Linked DNA regions of Schizosaccharomyces pombe. Changing the gene in region 2 together with the main gene of any one other region gives a genetic interaction. Each region holds a gene or a part of one and is shown on either strand. Other genes may lie near its edges.

Region 1 (9,412 bases), on a different chromosome or scaffold from region 2:
CTAGAAACCCTTTTTTTGCGATCAAAACATTCAATTAAGCTACATAAGTTGTATTCTACAAAATGTCAGCGGTTCGCTGTATCAAATAAATAGTATATATAAACTCTATACCTCTTTTGTCTTTATCATCCCTTTAATCAATTCCTAGGTTTTTCATTGAAGACATTTTTTGCAAGCACCTACAGTATATATATCGTTGATTTTATTTACCTTCTTCACTAACCAATTTTCTTGAGCCTTAACACCTAAATGAAGCAATTATTGAAAAGTTGGATTTATCCAAATCTCAAAACTTTGTTAAACTTCATTTTAACCTAAAGTCATATCTTTAAAAAGATAAATCGCATGGCAAAATGTTGGAACAAAGTGAATCGCACGCGTTCATAAATAATGCACCAAAAGAAGATCGAATCCAAGTGAAATTTGAACAATTATTTGAATCTCTTCCTTTGCCATTGCGAGCTGAAGAAGCATTGAGTAAACTAAGACATGATTCTGCAAGATTGATGATATTAAAAACTTCAGATCCTACGTTAAATATGTCGACTTATAGTATAGAGGATTCTCCGATGGGCTTTGAATGCTTAAAATATAATTTAAGTGACAATAATAAATTACTTTCACAAAATAATTACCGATTACCAGACTATTTAGAAGAGGATGAAATAGTCAGCTATACTTTTTCAAAAACCGGTCCCACTACTTCAAAAAACAAGCATCCATCACATTCTAATACAATTAGATCACCTCCTTACAAAGTGAAAAAAGAATCATGTCATACAGAAATCAACAACGTGTCTAATGTTTCTACGGAAAGTATCAACGTTATTGATGCATCGAGGGGTTACTCGCCTTACACATCAGTGGATTCTCTTTCTGTGAGTAAAAACCGTTCTTTCATATCTCTTGAAGAATCAGCAAGTAACCAATATGATGCTGCAGAAGCTTTTTATTTTAATGCAGACTCATCCTCACCGTTGAGAAAACTTAGCCCTATAGAGCTTCCTGTGACTCCAATAAGACGCAAAACCCCTACAATTAACCCAAACTCAGAACTTAAAAGACTTCAAACTTTTGGAAAACTGATTTTGCATAAGGGAAGTCGTAGAAGGTAGTGAGTCCAATCGAACAAGAAGTATACAATAACGTTTCTTTGTTATTACGAAAAATTTTGAATGACCATTTTATAATGCAAAAAGTTACCTTAAGCGTGTGCAGTAATTTATTCAAATATCAATAATCCTTTTAAATGACTATACCGAGCACTATACTTTGTATGAGTAGGCTATAAGGATCTTTTTTAAAAACGTTTATCTTGGTTAGGAACACTAAATGCAATTAGCAACCACGCATATCAATATAGCTGTATTTTTTTATTAATTTACAATCCAACACCTCTAGCTCCCAATTCAATTATTACATTGCTTTTTGGAGCTTTTATTTAGCAGCAAATAAATTACAAGTTGTATAATTACATTTTTTTTTTAATCCTAGAAAATAAGCAAATCTTAGTTTAATTTTCGCTTATTCTAACATTCTTAATGTATATTGTATATAATAATAATTATAGTCACAACGAGATGAAGTATGCGAAGGTATAAGAGTATACAGCTCCTATGGTCTTGCCCTCGGTCAAGCTCAGTAACAAATTGCATTTTACCCAAGAACCAAACAACTCATATAAATGGACAAGCTCAAAGAAAAAGGGTTTGTTAAACTAGAAATTTATTTGGAAAATAAAAAGAGGTTGCATAGTATATTTTTGAAAGAAGACACGGAAGATGTTGAAAAGAAGTCACTGTATTTGATTAATGTTCCTATCACAACTACTGAAAAGATTTTGAAAAGAGCAATTTCTCAATTGGGCGGTCGTATCGTTAATATCTATCCTAATATTAGTGGCCTTTTGAAAAGTGGCACCCATTTACGCGTCAAATTAGTCGAGCCCGCTGAAGTTAAACAAGTTATCAAGGCAGCTTCTAAAAAGACGACCTCGCTTCCTTGGAAGTTCACACAGCATACTGGTTTGAAACGTAAGAACATGGTCATTATTTTTTTGGAAATACTAATGTGTTTAATAGGTTATGTAGAAAGTTATGATAGACAGTTTGTCAATCCACGTGTTCTAGCCGAAAGTGTTGATTCATACATGAAACGTGTTACTAAAAAGGAAATAGCAGAAAAGAGGAGACTATTCGCTATGAAAAATCAACCTGATGAAGATGGATTCGTAACGGTCGTTCGCAGCGGCCGGGCACCTGTCGGGCGACCTCAGGATGCTGAGCGTCAATTGGAAAAGAAAAAAGACACTGGGATCCACAAAGATTTTTACCGTTTCCAGCTTCGGGAAAAGAAAAAGAAGGCTCTTTTGGATTTAGCTCATAAGTTTGAGTTCGATAAACAGCGTATCCAACAATTAAAAGAAAAGCGGCAATTCAAACCGTATTAATATTATAGGTTTTAATCTTTTTGGGAGCATCACAAGGATTTGTTTTAGTTTGTATATTTTAGGGATAATGGTAATATACAAAGGCTATGATTTACTAATACAAAGAATAAAGTATACTTACCACAAACGTATATAAATATATTAGTATGAAAATGGAATAGTCGTTTACTTAAAAATGAAATGTAACTGCATGGTGAGAGCATTAAAGCAAGACTAACTTGCTACTTCAAGTTTTTTGAGACTTTCTAAATCGTAATCAATGCCACTAAAAGCCTCATATAAGCATCGCAAATGACAATCTTCTATACGGAAACCGCATTTGCGGCCTGGTTCATGCGAAACTTTTTCCAAATATCTAATCGAGTTGTTAGTATGATATTTATGGGTGATGCTACAAAATTGACACTTACAAATCTTGATAGGTGTTTTTGGAGTATGAAAAATACTTGCTCCCATCTTTTTCTCCAGCAAGAGGACTAAAAGGCGTAGTATCCTCTGCTACTTGCTGAACATCAGATAGAAGAATTGAAGATGAACGTGAAATGTTTGAAACCGAAGAGGCAATGTTTTCTTGTTGCTTTTTAAGGGAATCAGATAGTTGGATAATTTTGTTAGGATCTTTTCCTGATGTAGCTAAATCAAAAATAATTTGTTGCTCAACCTGTTCACGTCTTTCCTTTTCTTTTTGATGCTCACGTATAGCCGCTTCTCTTGCTTCTTGCTTTTGGCGTTTGAGAAGAATCTCGTTTTGAGCCAAAATGCGTGCTTCTGCGGCGGCTCTTGCAGAATTTGCTGCTATAGAATCTCGATTTTGTTTTTCATATTGTTTAACTTTTTCCTCAGTTTCTTCAACGTCGATTTTATAAATCAAATTAAATGCTAAAAAAAATTGTTAATAAAATTCTGACGCTGTCAATAACATACTTAAAATTTCAACTTCTTCCAAGTAGTCATTGTAAGCCTGCAAGCTGTCAAATTCTTGCTGTCCTTTGTTAAAGCTAAAAACGCACGTTAGAGTAAATTAAAAAAAAAGCTACAGTGTTCGTACATTCGAGATATCCGCTTCCGAACATCGACTTCGCGCTCAATTTGAGCATCTTCAAATGTTTGCTCTCGAAATTTGGCTTTTCTGAGAATTTTGTTGCACCCAGGAGTAGGGCATTGAGCAGGTCCAGTTGTAAATATTCTCTATGAATTAGCAAATCATGCTTCATTTCTTATTTGTATTAACAAATGCAATCAAACATACGTCTACACAAGACTCACACATCTTGTGATAGCACTCAGGGTTTATAAGTAATTTCATATTTGGATTTAAATATCTGTCCGCCTGGCACAACGGACATTTTTCATCTATATGTCTCGGTCAGCTTTAAAATAAATCAGGTAATTAATTAATGCTTACCAACTTTCCTAGCACCTTCATCGTCCATCTTTCTTTTATAGTTTACTTTTATTAATTCGTATTATGCAGTGAACGGGAATGACAAACGATAAATTCAAAGTTTCAATCGAATTTATGTTGAATAGTAAACGTTACTTTTCGGATTGTATAAAGAAATAATATTTGGACAAAAAAAGCGCGCAATACGTGGTGTTAAACTTTTAGAAGTAGTCGCCTTCAATATTACAAACACGACGACCATCAACTCATTCCCTAGCTACCAGCTATCTAAAGTCTTTTGAGTCCAAAAATACGAAAATTTAGATTAATGTAATAATAATTATTGAACCAACATAAATATTAACTAAATTTGGTTCCGTTTGTCGTATAACTTGGTAATTTCTATGTATACGGGCATGCAATCAGAAAACTTAATGGACATTTACTAAATTTGATCAGTTTGTTAAAAAATAAAATTATCTATTTTATTCTCACATAGGAGTTTGGAAAATTTTCAATAGTTACGAACTTGAATTTGAATGTTTTATATATATGTCGAACATTTAACTATTAAACTACATAGGTGTAATTTGTTTGCTTTATGAATACGTAGTTTAAAATATATGGTGTTAAAATTATTATTTGGGCTGTACAAAGAATAGCTAAAATCAATTCATGACTAGAAAGAAAGGCTGGATGAATTCGTCAACTACCAAAACCCCATGTTTGACTATACGCGTAGAAAAGCAAAAATTTTGCATGAAATATTATGGAAAATAACTCCCATAACGTAGATGAGCGACGAGCAGCACGAATGCGTGGAGCTGAGTATGTTATTTCAAAACTTTGTAAAAATTAACCAATGTAGACGCTACAAAATTCAAAATGTTGAGTTTTCATTAGATCAAAACCTTCTGGCCAATTTAGAGTCATCTACTTCTAGTTCAACTCGTTCTTCGCCTGCTTCAAACCAACAAAACCTTGAAATTGTATCTCAATCAGAGGCATATCATAAAATTAGCGATTTGGATGACAGTACATCTATTTTTTCTATTTCCGATCAAGAAAATATACTTGAAAGAAGGATTTCTGAAGAAGTAGTTCGGGAAAATTCCGTTTCCAGCATCGAAAATGTATCTTCATCGGCTGTCGCACGTGAGACGCAGAGTAGCGCAAATATTTTAGTCAAAGACAATCATTTTTTTTCTCATAAGCAGAAAAAAATACAAAGGGAATCCATTCCGTTTCACAAACGTGATAATATAGAAACCTCTGATGCATATAGTTCTTCAATCCTAGAAAATTCACCACCTAACAAAGTACAAAGGCTGTCATCTCTCGACTCATCTCAAGATTCGTTCCAAGAGGAACATCCAGGCAATGTGACAGGAACAACATTTAGTTCTCAGGCCCCTGAAGAGCGAATTGCTTCTCCTATCTCCACTTCTTCTCCGGAATCTTTGACGAATCAAAGTAGTAGTCTGCAAAGTTCCTTACAGACATCATCAATGGCTCCTAGAAATCTTTTGGATCAATCAACAGAAAAGGATATTGTAGTGGGAGCCTCAGATGAGCTCGTGCGTATCGAGTTAACCAAACTTTCTAAAGAAGCAGGAGGGTCAAAGACTCTTAATGAGCTTGATGCCGTACAGCAATTTTTTCAAGAATTTATAAAAGAGAATGAGCCACTAGAACCCTATGTAGTCAAGGTAAAAAATGCGTTTGTGGAACAAGTTTCTATTCGTTTACTAGAGTTAATAGACTTGCTGGACGCTAATCGAATTTTATCAACAGCTTGTAAAAAAGCAGCAAATGAGAAACTAGCTGTTCAACGGGATCTCTCGAAATTGAGGGAAGATCGACTATCAGTGCAACGTAAAAAAATACAGTTACGAAATGAGTACATTAAATTGTCCCATCAACAAAACGTACGCATAACATTGGCTCTTTAATTTACGCTTAACTAACTTAATATAGTTTTTGGATGATATTGACGATTTCTTCTCACAATGCGAAACAGTGAAAAACGAATTAGAAAATGTAACCACAACTCCAAACTCTACCGAAGCTTTTTCAGAAATAAATGAATATGCGTCTGCTTTATCAAAAAATTATGGACTCGAATCGCAGCTAGTTGAATTACAGTCTTTACTAACCCAATTTTATCAAAAATTCCTTTCCTAAAAGTTGCCATATCGCAACTTCTCCGCTGTCTTTCTATCACCTTTTTGTATAATTTTTCATTTCGGTGCGTCTGTTTGGGAAATCGGCTGGATTTCTACTGTTTCTTAAAGTTTTGCTTTTCTTGTGTTCTAAACTACCCTTTATCTTTTGCTAATGTGAAAGCTTTGATTGGGTTTTTGTATATAAAATTTTTTGAAATATGAGTATATGAATATATGAATGTATAATAAATGGCATGTCATTATTACCCCAATTTTCTATTTCGACAGCATTTCCGTTTTAAATTGTATGCTGCATAATTTTCTAGTAGAAATTCGACTTTTTCGTCACTAACTTGAACTGCTTACACTTACAATTGAGCATGTATTTTTTTAACAAGTTAGGAAAATAAAAAAAACAAAAAAATGCAAAGGAATTTGCTTCTAAATGGATATCTTTGTATATCGCGTTTGTTTTCAATTTAGATGAGTATTAAGTGCAATATTAGTTAACTTGTAACTTCGTTTAGCACAACTCTATTTTCATAGAATATGAAGTCATATTCACTACACTCTGAATCACGCCGAAGATACCCAGCCCAAAAATGGGTCAAAAGGAGTCCCAATTTAAAGTTCTTTGGCAGTTACAGACTCATGAAGAATATATGAAACAAACTTCTTCTTTCTTACGAGACTTTAATGCTTTAGAACGGTATAATTTAAAAGGTTTGTCAATTTTCGTAATTTTGTTTAACAAAGCTAATGATTTAATAAAAAGAGAATTTCGAGGCTTTATCAAGCTTTGATAATGGTGAAAAAATTTGGGTTGAGGATGCCTTGTATGTTCGCTTTTAAAGGTATTGTTGAAATTGTTCATTCTAACAAAGGTGCTTTAGCACGACGTTCTTTGGAATTCCAGACGTTATCCAACTTTCACCATTTTTTTATCGCTCCGCTTGTAGTTTTGGAAGGGATCTTAATATCAATAGGCAACGTCTTACATTTTCTGCTCTCGCGAGATTTCTTGCTTCTTACACTGGTCGCCACAAAGATGTTTGGAGTGATTTTGAGAGCAATTTGATGATCATAGCAAGTTGGTGTGACTCTTTTCCAAAATTTAGAGTAGAAGTTTTAAAAAATTCTAAACAAATTTCGCGGTTAATACATAGTGATGTTCAGAACATAAGCAATTTTTTTGATCAAAACTTCGGTATACGGAGGTCAAATATTTATCAGCTATGTTTGCTGTTACTTTGCATTTCTAAACTTAAGCCTGGTGAATCGGTTGGTTGTCATATTAATTCGTTTTTGGACTCTATGTTTGTGAAAGAACAAAAAGCTGCCTTTTATGTGCTACAAGGTATAAGTCCGGATATATCTAGTAATATTATAAAACCGAGTTATTTACTTCATTTTCTTGAGTCAAATCCATATTTCCTTAAATCTCTAGGATCTTTATTTGAGTTGGCACTATTTCCGCATTCAGCTCACAATCAAAAAGTGCAAGATGATGTGTCACCGTTAAACGACTTTGCAATTCTGAGCCCACTTATCCATGCTCAAATCTGTTTTTTTTTACCCAAATCTGTATGGCAGGTCAATGGCTTGACAAGTCTGTTTAGAGCAAGCTTTCATGGTTACTCAATGTACGCACTAGAGAGAAAAATGTGTAATTATCACAATCCTTCGATTCTCTTAATTAAAGCAAAGAAAATCAATGCCAATCACAAATCCTCTTCTAGACCAATATCATTAGATGCTACAATTCCGAGAAAATATCCACCACACTGCATTGGGACTGATAAAGCTGTGCCTCAAAAATTTGGTGCAGATTTTCACAATGAAAATATCTTACTTGGTGCTTATATATCCACTCGTTGGAGACAATCGCATATGGGATTTTTTGGAGACCATTCAACATTATTATTTCAACTTCAGCCTATACATCAAGTTTATTACGCTTCCAATCTTGATAAAAATTACTGTATGTTCGACAAAAATGTTGGCCTGGGTTTTGGCCTCAGCCGTCATAAAGTGACTAACAAAGTGCAATATGATGTACCCGGAGTATGCATGTATATTGATGATGGTCTAGAGTATGGATTATTTAGACATGCTGGTGATGGAGCATTCAAGCCTGCGACAAATTACGAAAACTTTGAATATGAAGAAAGATTTTTAATTCAAGACTTAGAGGTCATAGGAGTTGATACTACAAAACCGGTAGAGCCAATCCACATCGGATTATAATGGACGCATATTGGAAAAACGATCATAAATATTAGTATATATATATAATTTTTTGTCAATAAGAAAAAAACTTATAACGCATTATCCTTTTGGCTTCTAACATCTTTTATTCTGCTCCTTTTAATGATATCCAAAGATGCATCGTTCTCACTAATCGAACTGTACGGACTTTTTGCTTTGTTTTCACCATCAGAAAGATTTAATTTCCTCTTCCTTTTTGCAACCTTTTCTTCTTCCTGAAGACGAGCTTTGATTATTTCTTCGGGCTCTGGTTGTTTCGACAGTTCATGAATAAATTTCCACTCTTCAGGTTTTACTCGTGAGATACTCAACCTCGATCTATTTAATAATTCCATGCTTTTCAGCTGATTCTCCTTGTGCATTTTCAATTCTCTCAACGTAACTGGTCGATCTAATTTGTACTCTGATTGTACACCGACAGAATACCATCTAGGGTTTTGCGGAGTAGATTTTGGATCATAATAAGGATCATTAGAATTCCACGCTGAGTCTAAAACTGTTAATGATCATTACATTTTAAAATACACTATACCATCGGGATGAGAATTGGAACAAATCTACAAGATAGTTAGTACAGTTATAAATACCACGAATAATTCTTGTCTATTATAATAGATATAGAATTCATGCTCAAAGCTCTATTACAATTCTCCGTATTCGAAAAAGTTCGTCTACTAGATATTTGTAATAAAAATGTGATGCTTACTCTCATCACCCCTAATTTATAAATAAAGTTAGCTGCTTGTTCGGAAAATAACTTGGCACAAACCCTTAATATGAGGAAATTTGCAATTTGAACAATACAGGAAAGCGTAGTCTCCTATCTTGATTTCATCCCGAATCATGTTTCGAGCTTCATAGTTTCGAACACCACTCCATGATTCCATTTTCCCATCTTCTGTAATTTCCTCTAACATTTCAAATGTAAAAGCTACGTTTATGCCTTTTACATATCTAGGCTCTCCTTCGGCCTTCATAAGCCAATAACGCCTCTTTTCTGCATCTTCGGTCATTGCGCCTATTCTTTAGAAACCAAAATGTAAAAAAATGTTAAGTTAAATATAATTACGTACGTATGAAGGTTGTTAAGTTAAATGATGGGAGTTAGTGTTATAATTTCAAGTGGATGTCTTAGACACACTAATG
Region 2 (8,093 bases):
TATTGCTCACCATCTACTTTGTAATCGCTGCTTAAGAGGATCCGCGTCTAAATATTTAAGATAACCTACCAAACTATACAAATCACTTTTGTACAATCACCCCGGTGTATTAGATCTGCCATATTAGGCAGTGATTTTTTTAATTTTTTTCAAACTGTTCAGAAATAGCAAGTTTTTAGGAATGGCCTTCAGAGGTATACGGCCTTCTAACAAAGTCGCTGCAAGCCGTCCTGATGTATGGACCCTAGTGAATCAAGCAACAGCTGAATGTAAAGTTCCTCCTGTATCACTTAGTCAAGGATTTTTCAATTATAATCCACCAAAGTTTGTTTTGGATGCTGCCAAGAAGTCTATCGACGAGGTTGCTTGCAATCAATACTCACACACTCGCGGAAGGCCAAGCTTACGAAAAGCGTTATCAGAAGCGTATTCTCCCTATTTCAAACGTACTTTAAATCCAGACACTGAAATTGTAGTAACGGCAGGTGCAAATGAAGGGTTCTTTAGTGTTTTTGCGGCCTTTTTAAACCCAGGAGACGAAGTTATAGTTATGGAGCCATTTTTTGATCAATATATATCTAATATTACCATGAACGGTGGAGTTCCTGTCTATGTACCTATTATACCTCCTGAGGAAGGATCGGTGAAACCGGTATCTGCAGGTGCTTGGAAGCTGGATATGAACAAGTTAAGAAATGCTATTACAGAAAAGACGAAAATGATAGTAATTAATACACCTCACAATCCTCTAGGCAAGATCTTTTCGGAAGAAGAATTGAATGAAATTGCCGATTTGGTATTAAAGCACAATCTATTAGTCGTGTCTGATGAAGTCTATGACCGTCTTTCCTTTGTTCCGTTCGTCAGGCTTGCTACTCTTCGTCCTGAACTTTTCAAACATGTTGTAACAGTTGGATCTGGCGGAAAAACGTTTGGATGTACGGGATGGCGTGTTGGTTGGCTTATTGGTGATGAAAGCCTAATCAAATATTCTGCCGCAGCTCATACTCGTATTTGTTTTGCTGTCAATAGCCCTTGTCAAGAGGCCTTGGCCATAGCCTTTGGCGAAGCAGAGAAACATAATTACTATGAAGAGTATAAATCTTCGTACAAAAAGCGTTTTGAGATTCTAGCCAAGGCGTTTGATCAATTAGAGATTCCCTACACTATACCAGATGGCAGTTATTATACGATGGCGAACTTCTCCAAACTCAAATTACCTAAGGACTATCCATTTCCAGAGGAAATAGCCAATCGACCTAGGGATTTCAAGCTTTGTTATTGGATTTTGAAGGAAATTGGTGTTGCTACGATCCCCCCTACCGAATTCTATACGGATGAAGATGCACCAGTTGCAGAGAATTACCTTCGCTTTGCATTTTGCAAAACTTTTGAAACTTTAGAAGAAGCAGCTAGAAGATTACAGAAGTTGAAAGACTATTTTTAGATAGTATTGCTATAGATTACATGTATATCTAAAATTTATACTTATTTGCGTTACAATGAAAACCATCAAAAACGTATTATAGTAAAAGGCAATTTATAAGTGATGTCTAGCTTTATTTTTCTGTTTTTTTAATGGTTATGCAGTTCGACACGATCTGTCCTTATTAATTAATCGCTTATAAAATTATGGGTTTTTCCTCTGGGACATCATTCTTTCCTTCAGTTTGCATTTTCTTAGTAAACTCTTCATTGCAATGATCTTGCATTGCTCGGACTTGTTCTTTTAAGGAAATATAATAATCATCAACTTCAACTGGTTCAAACCCAACGGGAAGACTTTTTAAAAATGGACGTGTAGTATCTGTTTCGCATTTATACGTTAGTTCAAGATTGTTCATTGCTTTAACTTTTATTTGTATATAAAAAAAAAAAAAGAAAAAAAAGAGAAGAAATTAATTAAAACAGAAAAACAGGATTTCCGCAACAATATTAATTGAAAAAAAAGATAGATATTATGCAAAAGCTTCGGATGGAATAAACTATCGTTTTTTATCCGCACAGTTTTTGTAAAGGATAGATATGATATGTTGTCAATATATAGTACTTTAAACAACGTTCTTTAAAATTTACTCACGTTATTATCGGCTTTGCGTTGCTAGTTAGAGGTACTTCTTAAAGCACTACTATCTTATACCAAAGTCTCCTAGTCTACTAGCAAATACTATTGGGCTTTGATAGCACAGGTATGCAATAATCTTTTGTTAAATCATCAAGGCTTAGTAAACTTATTGAGCACCAAATATGAATAATTAAAAATGCATTAAACGCTTTGTGACAATTGATGGCTTCATTGAATTGTTGATTTAGCATCTCAACATTATTTATTAAATATACCAAGAATAAAATATTATTAGGATTCCTATATCAGCTACGCAGTTTGTTATCTGTTGTAACGATACGTTGGATTACGTCGAAATCTCCTTGTTATCTATTATATTGCACTATACTGGTAATGTAAGTAGCAACTTGTTATTAGTATTCTATATGATTACATTTTTAGCCATCACTAATATTGCCTACAGCTGAACCTCGTTCCTCAGTTCAGTTATAGCTTCTATTCGTAATTATCTAATAGATGTTACCAGCGGGTATTTTTGTATACAGAATAGTTATTCTCAATTACCAATAAAAACACCTTAGCTAATATTCTAACATATGATATTTAGCGATAGACAAGCATAATGTAGCATAACATATAGTAGAATTGCAGGTATTACAAAAGCGATGAATATATTCACAACTTTGAGCCATGGAAATCGACCATACACATTTTTTTGGTGTAGCATATGCTCAAATTGGCTTTAAAAAAAAGTTCATGAAATAAAGAAACTTAGTCATCGACAATGGACCTTGGAAAAATAGAAATCCGAAAATTAACGTGATACTGTTTCATATTTTGTATTATTTATTTAGTGTGCGTGACGCATGTTATTAAATATAGCCTTTGTCAAGTTCGTTAAATTAAGCTTATTTTTTATAGAGTAATTGAATCTATTGACGTAACTTACGCCTGCGATACAGAAATGCAAACAACGAATTTCAACTTTTAAAATCTACCATTGTCTAATATTTAAAAAAGCTAGAAATGAAATTGAGGGATAAATGGAAAATTTATTTAGGGTTAACGACTATCAAAGTTCAATGCCCTTGTTTTTTTTTGTTTCACAATGATGAAAATCGAACCACTACATCTAACTTAGATTCGGTAAAGTCTAAAAAAAAAAGAAGGAAGACGATATCTGATGCTTCAATCGTTTCTAATGGATCTCTAGTCTCTCATCCATCTATTGACAAGGGAAAACTCTCTATTCTCAAGCGATATAAAATGTCGCATCGATTAACTGCAATTGATAAACTAAGACCGCTAACTGTGTTGGTAGCGTGGAAACAATTAAACATTGCTATGAGACCAATATTTCCGCAACATCGTTACACCGAACAGGATAAGAAGAATTGGAAAAAAAAGGTTATTATCGAAGATTTAAATTTTTTAGTGCTGCGGTGTATATGCGCTTGCGAAGCAATAAGCGATTTTGAAGAGCTTTTGGGAAATATGCGAATTGGACTGATAATTGACATTTCATTGCTGGGTATGAATAGCAATGAGTCTTCCTTTCTACACTATCTTGTTGAGGTGTGGTCGATTTTTTATTTAGAAATATTGCCGTATATCGAAGCTACGTTTTTGCCTGTTACTTTTGCAAAATTTGAGATTGCTCAATTATTTGAAGAGCCCATGAAAACGTACTGGTTAAAAAAGAGTGCTAATATAGATTTGAAACTGTTTTCTATTTGGGTGTTTCGTAAATTTGTTGTAATGCCAAAGCTGAAAAAGACAAATCGATTCATTGAAATTCCTCAATTGAATACTCAGCAGCAGATTTTACTCGTCCAGATGATTTCCATTATTTCTCTCATAAAGCCACAAGATGAATCCGAAGATCTTCTAATGAACTGGCTAAACGAACTGACTTTAAAATTTTTATATGTCTGAAATTTAATATGTTTTAATAGAAGATAGACTTTTTATACTTTCAATATTTGTTTTTAAAGCCCATTTAAGCAATTTATCTTTTAATATTTGCGGCTTTTGTTAGGTATTTAATAATGTTACCTATTCCTTGTTACTCAATGGTGTTTCTATTTTGCTAACTGGAGTATGCAACAGGACCTCCATATAGACACTTTTTAAAATCGAAAGAACTCTTCTAAGCCCTCTTATGTAATACCATCTTTCCCATGGGTTTGTAGGATGAATAGTTTCCTTTTACTTGACCATGTGTCTGACTCTCAGGATTCTGGAAGTGAATGGTCAAATACTCATGGGTCTTTAATTTCACAACGTGGAAATGAATACGATGGAATTACGCCGGCTACTAAAGAAAAAAATCAAAATAAGCTAGAAATTCTGAACAATGAAACCACCATCGGTTCTACAAAGTCATCGGTGTCTTCATTGCCCGAATTGAATAGGAATGTTTCTTTTGAAAAAAGTGATCAAAATTTAGCTGAAACAAAGAGGGAAGAAGAAAACAAACGAACTGAGGTTTTTAAAAAAGATGCCGAACACGAAGCGGTTGTTGTTAAAAGAGATTTTCGCCCTAGACGTCCTGAGCAAACCCGGCCTTATACTTACGATTTCTTAAGGCATCAAATAGAGTTTAAAAGAATAGGCTTGGTACCCATCACCGTACCGCATGGTTTTTCTTCTGATCGATCTATTACTTCTAAGTCCTCTCATAAACCTGTAAATGTTATAGTTCGTAATCGTGCTTCTTCACGTAAACCACCCTTGACCTCTACTCATCGCTTTAGAAGGTATGGAGCTGTAATATCTGATAGCGATGATGATGAGTCTAATACTGAGCAAGATCATTCAAAGGAATCTAATCTGAATACAGCTGACAATGACCTCGCATTGTCGTCTACTATTGAAGGAAAGAAAACCTCAACTAGCAAAGAGGCTTTAGAATCTGAGTCTTTACTTTCCGATTCGGATCAGTCTATGACAAATATCTCATCGAATTCTACTGTGAGTGATCTGAATTTGAAAACTTTAAAGAAAAGATTACGAGGAGTTTTACCACCATCATTTCTAACTCTTCAAGAAAAAAAAAAATTGGAAAATAGAGGTGTCAAAAAAAAGACATCATTACACAAGAGTGTTATTGAGGGAGAAAAAATAAAAGGTGTGGCTCGACGGAAGTTGCATCCTAGATCGACAGCTAAACTATCTAGTGAATTAGGAAACGAAATATCGGATTCTGACAATAGCATTTCTACGCCAACACCAACTGATGATTCACGGTTTGACACCAGCGAGTTTTTAGATTCAATTTCTCGTGATAATGGCTGGTTGAAAGAAGATGTGGTTGATCAATTATGGCTTCCTAAAAGAAGTTTATCCGCTCTTAAAAAATCAAGTTCTTTGACGTCGGAAAACCCCTTTCAGCTAAATGTAGCAGCCAATGCTGTTTCTACTATTCCTGTCTATCGCACAACTAAAACCAAAATGAAAAAAAATAGATTTAAATATGTCGAAGTGGAAAAATTACCAGACCTTATCCTTGAATCGTATGGGAAAAAGGCGCCAAAGTTTTTGAGGGTGTTTGCTCGAAGTTCATCTCATATTCCAAAAATGATTAGAAGAAAAAGACAAATGGATTCCAAAAAGTATTTTTCCTTCGACAAAGAATCCGATCGCCAAGTTATTGATCAAGTTCTTTCTGATTGGTATTCAGGTAAACATGAGCTTGTTCAACAATCTCATTCTTACAAAAAGCCTTCAGATTCTAAGTCAGTTGGTGGAAATATTTTTTCTGTTAATTCTAAAAAGCATAGTGTAAATATTAACGCTAAAACAGCAGCAAATAACGGTTTGAGTCATCTTCAAAATTTTAGCGAGGAACTCTTAAAAAAAAGAAAGCTATTTTCTTCTCTTTTTTCTAATAACGTTTCATACAAAAAATCCAAAAAGTTAAAAAGGACTCATACAGTACATGACAAATGCCAAAAAGTTGCCAAATTAGACCATTACATTAGGGACAATATTGAATTAAACTCAAAGGAAAGAGAACATGATTGTTATGAGGGGACTTTAGCTGTACCCCAAGTAAATACTGAGATCCGCAAGTCTTCAAGAAAGCAGAAGGCTCAACGATTTATACGAGACGATTTTGACACCGTCTTTTTTCAATCCTCTTCAAACCCTAATTATTTTACAGATGTAAATCCTTTTTGGAATATAGGTATTTGGTCTACTACATTTAATGTCATAACTTTTAGACCGGGACTTAGTTTGCCCAACAACTCCTTTATAAAAACCCAAGGGTTAAATTCTATTCTTCAATTGGACATCGTCACACATCCTTTTAAGTCTGTTTATGCTTTTTCTTGTTTATTCAATATCCAGGATGATGTTTTTAAAACATTCGAAAAATTAAAAGACACTTTTGAGACAGTCTTAGAAAATCTTCCATACTTTACAAACTCTGAAACTGTTGACTTGTACAATCTACTTTCTTTTTGCTCTGCGTTTATTCTTCATTCTCAAGTATCAATGGGCTTGGTTAACTTGGCTTCCTCCTTTTTAGAAACCTATGCATTAGTCAATGATCGTGTTTCTTCTATATCGGGGTTGAATAGATCACAATTGGTTGAAAAAATAGCTGTGTTGTTTCAAACTTTTCAAGTTGTATTTTATTGTGAATTTGAACTTGGAAATCAGCAAAACATTAATAAAGTTTCCTGGCTGGCAAGTGATTTGATTTCAAAACTTCTTTCTGCTGGTCAATCTGGTCTATTGGAATGTTATCGGAATTTGAGAATTCAAGCTTCAGATACGACTGTAATTGACACTCTTTTTTTGGAATCTTGGTCAATTTTAAATCATATTCTTTTTCATGTATATAAGAAGAAATATGCTTTGTGGGAACAGGTGAATTCATTTTTTGATCTTCAAAAAAAGGAGTTGTCTATATTAGAAATGGAAAAAATTTGGTATGTTATAATGACGCTCAATCCCGTTTTCCAAATTGGGCTTAATGGAACGACTCATTCACCAGGAAACAATAGTTTTTGGCCACTGATAATCAGAGTTTCAGAAAGTGCATTTAAAATGCATAAGGACGGACACAATGTTAAAGTGGTTGAGCGATACCTTCGCACAGTGTTTCTTCGAATTCATTTTCTCATATCTGAATGGCGTTGGGAGGATGTGGCTCAAATCCTATTTTTGATATTCGATTTCTTTAGCCATAGAAAGTTTAATGACCTTTCTTCTGAAATATCTGAAGATACACCAACTGACTTTCCTGATTTTGTTAAGTCACTTGACAGACCTCCAAATCTTCATGTAACTGCTCTTGATACATGTTTTGTAATTTATTTAAAAGTTATTTTAATTTCTATAAGCCGTTTGAGGCAAGTAGATGAAAATACAAATTCAATCAAGAGGATAGTATCCAGATTACAGCCCTTACATTCACGTCAATACACGCGAGAAAGTCCATTCTCAATTAAGGACTTTATGTCTTTGGAACATACTCACACTCTTCTTATTTGTCTTTATTGGGCAGCACCCGAGAATTGTAGGCCCAGTTTAAATCGCATTAGGGATATTGTAATCGTCGATAATTCTCATCTTAAGGCACGTTTAATTAGTCTAAAAGCATGGCTTCACCTAATGAAGTATGTGATAAAAGAGGGAACTGATTATGAACTCGCTCAGGGAATGGAGTGGTTTAATTCCATTTTAAAAGTTACATTTGATGAATATCTTGCTCTCTTTTCAAATGGAACTTCTGTTGGTGAGATGCAATTGGCTGAATACTCGAAACATCAACTTGAAAATGCGCTAATTGTAGCTTTCCATTCCCTTCAAGATTTAATTCCCAATTCTTCAGTTTATATTAGTAGGATAAACGTTTTGGTGACGGAGCAGTCATGCCGGCGCATTCTTAAAGACTCTCATTTTTTTCCTCCTCGCGTTACTCTGGAGTGTATTTTATTTCTAAAAAAGTTTTTGCAGTATCAATCTAATACAGAGCCACCTAAGGTTACCGTTGTTGGTAGCACTTCGCATGATA

The links.
Region 1: of gon7 (region 2) and mis17, a mutation in one rescues a mutant of the other (synthetic rescue), as found in Schizosaccharomyces pombe (one study listed by BioGRID).

The regions. Positions count from the first base shown.
Region 1 is NC_003423.3:3,209,669-3,219,080, forward strand, and holds mis17 (kinetochore protein Mis17 ), read left to right. Parts: upstream 1-4,537; 5' UTR 4,538-4,602; coding exon 4,603-4,661; intron 4,662-4,701; coding exon 4,702-5,761; intron 5,762-5,810; coding exon 5,811-6,017; 3' UTR 6,018-6,270; downstream 6,271-9,412. Other genes in the region: protein Mis20, read left to right, coding at 354-1,115; rRNA processing protein Rrp7, read left to right, coding at 1,685-2,033, 2,082-2,449; transcription factor TFIIK complex ubiquitin-protein ligase E3 subunit, Pmh1, read right to left, coding at 2,663-2,804, 2,860-3,328, 3,374-3,447, 3,498-3,637, 3,699-3,802, 3,855-3,882; rtc5 (V-type ATPase inhibitor and disassembly protein linked to MTOR), read left to right, coding at 6,601-6,721, 6,774-6,834, 6,892-8,245; SPOM_SPBC21.03C (EVE domain (PUA-related) protein, implicated in tRNA metabolism (possible RNA binding domain associated with tRNA methyltransferases)), read right to left, coding at 8,317-8,756, 8,799-8,823, 8,973-8,983, 9,036-9,279. UniProt on the Schizosaccharomyces pombe protein: Component of the kinetochore, a multiprotein complex that assembles on centromeric DNA and attaches chromosomes to spindle microtubules, mediating chromosome segregation and sister chromatid segregation during meiosis and mitosis.
Region 2 is NC_003424.3:2,410,136-2,418,228, reverse strand, and holds gon7 (EKC/KEOPS complex subunit Gon7), read right to left. Parts: upstream 2,015-8,093; 5' UTR 1,845-2,014; coding exon 1,623-1,844; 3' UTR 1,457-1,622; downstream 1-1,456. Other genes in the region: SPOM_SPAC6B12.04C (aminotransferase class I and II), read left to right, coding at 182-1,447; HbrB family protein involved in TOR signaling Bit2, read left to right, coding at 3,092-4,000; mus7 (DNA repair protein Mus7/Mms22), read left to right, coding at 4,259-8,093.